Macaca mulatta: one gene and its partner. The protein of the gene in region 2 binds, or shares a complex with, the protein of the main gene of each other region. Links are inferred from orthologs where the notes say so. Each region holds a gene or a part of one and is shown on either strand. Other genes may lie near its edges.

Region 1 (3,500 bases), on a different chromosome or scaffold from region 2:
CACCTTGGCCTCTCAGAGTGCTAGAATTAGAGATGCGAGCCATGACACCTGGCCGTCTAGCTATATTTAAATACTGGCTACATTTGATCCCTTTTTTCCTGTTGATTATTCTTTTGATTTTTGTTGTTTCTTTGTTTTTGATTTTTTTGTTTTGATTTTTTTTTTTTTCCTTTTGATTAGCTTGCTACTCCAGAAAAAGCTTCACAAGTTTGAGTTGGCCTGTTTGGCCAACCTTTGCCCAGAGACTGCTGAGGAGTCCAAGGCTCTAATCCCAAGGTTAGTACCAGTTGTGATAAGTTCTCTGTATACTGGATAAATTCCTACAAATAGAATTGGTGTGTCTAAAATGTGTATGCATTATATATTTGGATACATGATTGCCAATATTAAATGAAAGTGCCTTTTTTGTTCAATATTTCAAAGCACGTTTCCTGCTTATTAACAGTGTGTGAGAATGATGGTTTTATACCACACCAAGTGAGAGCAAAAATCTGAAACAGCTGGAACTTCCGTACGCTGATGGTAGGGGTGTGAGTGTTAATTACAACAGTCATTTTGGAGAGCAATTTGGCTGTGTCTGGTAAAGATGAATATACTCCATGTTCCAAATATCCATTCCTGATACATATCTCAAAGGTAACTCACACAAGTTTACAAGGAGACGTATATTCTAGTGTTCATTGCTGCACTGTTTTGTTTCTGCTTTTGTTTTTAGTAGACATGGGGTTTCACCATGTTGGCCAGGCTGGTCTCAAACTTCCGGCCTCAAGTGATCTGCCCACTTTGACCTCCCAAGGTGCTGGGATTACAGGCATGAGCCTCAGTGCCCGGCCTCATGCTGCACTGCTAATGATAGCAGAAATTTGATCATCTCTTAGTCAATAAGAAAGTGGATAAATGAATCGTTGTATAGTCACACAATGTTTATTGTACGGCAGTGAAAACAGTCAGTGAACTAGAACCACGTGGAATATCAACATGTCAGAATGAATTCTGAGGAAAAATGGCAGAAGGATAAACACAGTGTGGTGCCATTTCTTATAAAGTCTGAAACTGTGCTGCATATTACTTACGTATCCATAAATGTGTAGTAAGTATAAAATATGTATGGCAAAACAAATTTTTAAAAAAAGGTATGGCAATGATAAATACTAAATTGAGGATGGTGGTTATTTCTGGGGAAGGAGGGAAGGTATTGGTCTAGGAAAGTAACACAGCCATCCACTTTCCTGCTTATTAAAGAACTCTGGGCCGGGTGCAGTGGCTCATGCCTGTAATCCCAGCACTTTGAGAGGCCAAGGCAGGTGGATCCCAAGGTTAGGAGGTCGAGACCATCCTGGCCAACATGATGTGACTCCATCTCTACTAAAATACAAAATTAGCTGGGCATGGCGGTATGTGCCTGTCGTCCCTGCTACTTGGGAGGCTGAGGTAGGGGAATCACTTGAACCCAGGAGGTGGAGGTTGCAGTGAGCCAAGATTGCGCCACTGCACTCTAGCTTGGCAACAGAGCGACACTCCATCTCAAAAAAAAAGAACTCTGGCCAGGTGTGGTGACTCACTCCTGTCATCCCAGCACTTTGGGAGGTTGATACCATTAGAAAACATGAAGACAGTAAGTGAAAAATGCAGGGCTGGGTGTGGTGGCTCATGCCTGTAATCCTAGCCGTTTGGGAGGCTGAGGCAGGAGGATCACCTGAAGTCAGGAGTTGAAGACCAGCCTGGCCAATGGTGAAACCCCGTCTCTACTAAAAATATAAAAATTAGCTGGGTGAGGACTGGGCGTGGTGGCTTACGCCTGTAATCCCACCACTTTGGGAGGCCTAGGCAGGTGGATCATGAGGTCAGGAGATCAAGACCATCCTGGCTAACACAGTGAAACCCCATCTCTACTAAAAATACAAAAAATTAGCTGGGCATGGTGTCGGGCGCCTGTAGTCCCAACTACTTGGGAGGCTGAGGCAGGAGAATGGTGGGAACCCAGAAGGCGGAGCTTGCAGTGAGCCAAGATTGCGCCACTGCACTCCAGCCTGGGTGACAGAGCAAGACTCCGTCTCAAAAAAAATTAGCTGGGTGTGGTGTCAGGCGCCTGTAATCCCAGGTACTTGGTAGGCTGAGGCAGGAGAATCACTTGAACCCGGGAGGCGGAGGTTTCAGTGAGCCAAGATCATGCCACTTCACTCTAGCCTAGGGGACAAGAGCGAAACTCCGTCTCAAAGGAAAAAAAACCTGTAAGTCAAGTGGGGCTAACTGTACAGGTATATTTTTTATACTTTTTATCTTTTATGCGTTTGAAATATTTTGTAATGTTTTATCAGGAAAAGTGGAAAAGAAATACAGATGAAAGGTGAAGGTGTTAGAGATGTGGGCAGTAGATTAGCACGCCTCAAAGAAGAGCGTGGGGAAATTGCCAGTTGCCAAATCACTCATTTCTTTTCGTTTTCTTGTAGCTTGGAGGGACGGTTTGAAGATGAGGAGCTGCAGCAGATTCTTGATGATATCCAGACAAAGCGCAGCTTTCAGTATTAATCTCCAAACATCGCTGCTGCTCAGAGAAACCGCGTCCGCAGGCGTAACACCACCTTCCCAGGCTCTGGCTGACTTGCATGGAAATGCTGTTGCAGAGGACAGTTGAGAATTCCTTTGGAGAAAACAGCCCGGCTCGGCGTGGGGTTAGGTTGCTGTTTCAAATAACTCATAGGCCCAGGACATGGAATCTTGGAGCAGCCTTGTGCAGTGGCTGCCAGTGGCTTCCTGAACATGCCTCTGGGAAGTGTGAGATGGGGCCACACTACTGACTACCTCATTCATGGTTTTTGGCCTCCACATCATCTTTTTTCTTAATATTTCATGTTTTAATTTCAGTGCGTTTATACTTTTTGAAACTAGACCAGAATATAGTAGACTTTATAGAGAAAGACCAGTTTCACCTAGATGCTAAAGGAAGAATTAAACAACTGTTATTGTTTGAAATCCTTTTCTTTTTCTTTTCTTTTCTTTTAAATGGAGATAGGGTCTTAACTCTTACCCAGGCTGGAGGAGTGTAGTCATACAGTCATGGCTCACTGAAGCCTGGACCCCCCTGCCTCAGCTTCCCAAATAACTGGGGCCAAAGGTGTGCACCACCACTCTCAGCTAGTTTCTAAAATTCTTTATAGAGATGGGGTTTTACTGTGCTGCCTAGACTGGTCTTAAACTCCTGGGCTCAAGTGATCTGCCTGCCGTGGCCTCCCAAACTGATGAGATTAGAGGCATGAGCCACCACATCTGGCCTGAAATTCTGAAGGGATGAGAGTGTCGACAGAGCATGTTGGCATCATTGTGGCTAACCTGGGAGGCGGAAGAAGCATGCCATGGGCAGTGTTGACGAGTATTGTGGAGCTCAGAGTCCCTTGAGGTAGATGGCTACTTTGCCTTTCTTCTTGAACTGTCTTGCAGAATGTGGATTTGGGGTGAGTGGTCTTGAAGGACTCATTTAGTCACCCTCAAATTAAGATTTT
Region 2 (2,580 bases):
TACAGGCACCCACCACCACGCCCGGCTTATTTTTGTAGTTTTCGTAGGGGCGAGGTTTCACCATGTTGTTCAGGCTGGTCTCAAACTCCTGACCTCAGGTGATCCACCTGCCTCGGCCTCCCAAATTTCTGCGATTATAGGCGTGAGCCACTGCACCAAGCCCGGCCTGCAGTCCTGTTTTTTGAAGCTTCCATGAGCAATGAGACAACGTTACATTGTTCCAGTGGAAACAGTAGGTTTTGTCATTAAAGAAAAAGACATCTATAAATTAAGATAACAAGAGATCTGGCCAGGTGCAGTGGCTCATGCCTATAATCCCAGCACTTTGGGAGGCCGAGGCAGGTGGATCACCTGAGGTCAGGAGTTTGAGACCAGCCTGAACAACATGGTGAAACCTCGTCCTTATGAAAACTACAAAAATTAGCTGGGCGTGGTGGTGTGTGCCTGTAGTCCCGGCTACTCAGGAGGCTGAGGCAGGAGAATGGTGTGAACCTGGGAGGCGGAGGTTGCAGTGAGCCAAGATTGCACCATTGCACACCAGCCTGGGCGACAGAGCGAGAGTCTGTCTCAAAAAAAAAAAAAAAAAATAGCAAGAAACCAGTGTGACTGGATTGGGGCCAGACTCTGAGTCCAAGGGAGGTGCTGAGACTCCAGCAGCACGTGGGGACCCTGTCTTTGAGGGACTCGGGGCGGAAAGGGAAGGTAGGAAGGGCCGGTTCTATCCGTGTGGTTTCAGGGAGTCCTGGGCCACAGCCCAAGTCCCCGGGGTCCACATCACATTGAAGGCTGTGTGGGTGGTGCCCTAGGGCTCGCCCCCTGCAAGCGCAGGGGCAGGGTGGTGCCAGGCCCAGCATGAGCCACCCTGTGCCTGGCCCCCAGGAGGAACAAGGTGCTGAACCACTTCAGCATCATGCAGCAGCGGCGGCTCAAGGATCAGGACCAGGATGAGGACGAGGAGGAGAAGGAGAAACGCGGCCGCAGGAAGGCAAGCGAGCTACGCATCCACGACCTGGAGGATGACCTGGAGATGTCGTCTGATGCCAGTGACGCCAGCGGTGAGGAGGGTGAGCACGGGGGCCCGGGCATTAGGCTACAGAGGTACCTGCCCAGGCGGTGCCAGTGAAGGCACAGTCTACCGTCGCTCACAGTGGCCCTAGAATTCGAGGCACCTGGGGCCAGGTGCGGTGGCTCACGCCTGTCGTCCAGCACTTTGAGAGGCTGAGGCAGGCAGATCACCTGAGATCAGGAGTTCGAGACCAGCCTGGCCAACACAGTGAGACCCTGTCTCTACTGAAAACACAAAAATCAGCTGGGCATGGTGGTGCATGCCTCTAGTTCCAGCTACTCGGGAGGCTGATGCAGGAGAATCGCTTGAACCTGGGAGATGGAGGTTGTAGTGAGCCGAGATCGCGCCACTGCACTCCAGGCTGGGCGACAGAGAGGGACTCCGTCTCAGAAAAAAAAGAATGAGAGTCAGGCGAGGCTGCCTGGAGGAGCAGTGATGTCAGTCAAGAGGCAAAGCCAGAGCCCGGGAGAACTGAGCTGTGGCCCTTCTTTCTTTTTTTTTCTTGAGACAGGATCTCTCTCTCTCACCAGGGCTGGAGTGCAGTGGTACAATCACAGCTCACTGCAGCCTTGACCTCCCAGGGTCCAGCAATCCTCCCACCTCAGCCTCCTGAGTAGCTACAGGACTACAGGCATGCACCACCATGCCCGGCTAAGTTTTGTTTTTTTCTTTTGGAGACAGAGTCTTGCCCTGTTGCCCAGGCTGGAATTCAGTGGTGCGATCTCAGCTCACTGCAACCTCTGCCTCCCAGGTTCAAGTGATTCTCCTGCCTCAGCCTCCCAAGTAGCTGGGATTACAGGCATGCGCCACCACGCCTGGCTAATTTTTGTGTTTTTAGCAGAGACGGGGTTTCACCATGTTGGCCAGGCTGGTCTTAAACTCCCGAGCTCAGGTAATCTGCCTGTCTTGGCCTCCCAAAGTGCTGCGATTACAGGTGTGAGCCACAGCACCTGGCCTAATTTTTGTATTTTTTGTAGAGACTGGGGTCTCACTCACTATGTTGCCTAGGATGGTCTGAAAACTCCTGGGCTCAAGCCATCCTCCCGCCTCTGCCTGCCAAAGTGCTGGGATGACAGGCATGAGCCACCGCGCCTGGCCTGGCTGAGGTCTTTACGGGGGTTCCTATGAGAAACTGCAACTCTGGGTTGGCCAGTTTCAATAATTCCTGTGCGCTCTGGGCTGTAGGGGCTGTCCCTGGTTATCAGGTGCCTCGCCTGGGGTGGTCTGGGAGTGGGGAGTGGTCTGTGAGCGTTAGAGAACGTGGGTTGGGGTGTGGGGTCTGGACCAGGAGTTTGTTTAGGAGAGCTGAGCTCCTGGGCTGGCCTTGGTGGGGCAGTCTCCCCAGTCAGTGAGGCCCCCAGGATGTCAAAACTGCACAAAATACCCACTGCCTCCCCCTCCTTTTCCTTCCTTTCCTCCCTTCCCAGGCGGCAGAGCCCCCAAGGCCAAGAAGAAGGTGCCGCTGGCCAAGGGTGGCAGGAAGAAGAAGAAGAAGAAGGGCTCTGACGACGAGG

The links.
Region 1: GTF2F1 (region 2) and POLR2D share a complex: the UniProt entries of both Homo sapiens proteins name them as parts of the TBP-based Pol II pre-initiation complex. The link is inferred for Macaca mulatta from reciprocal best matches to the Homo sapiens genes GTF2F1 and POLR2D.

The regions. Positions count from the first base shown.
Region 1 is NC_133417.1:9,426,025-9,429,524, forward strand, and holds part of POLR2D (DNA-directed RNA polymerase II subunit RPB4), read left to right. Parts: intron 1-180; coding exon 181-276; intron 277-2,450; coding exon 2,451-2,529; 3' UTR 2,530-3,500. UniProt on the Homo sapiens protein: Core component of RNA polymerase II (Pol II), a DNA-dependent RNA polymerase which synthesizes mRNA precursors and many functional non-coding RNAs using the four ribonucleoside triphosphates as substrates.
Region 2 is NC_133424.1:7,259,735-7,262,314, reverse strand, and holds part of GTF2F1 (general transcription factor IIF subunit 1), read left to right. Parts: intron 1-879; coding exon 880-1,064; intron 1,065-2,493; coding exon 2,494-2,580. UniProt on the Homo sapiens protein: TFIIF is a general transcription initiation factor that binds to RNA polymerase II and helps to recruit it to the initiation complex in collaboration with TFIIB. It promotes transcription elongation.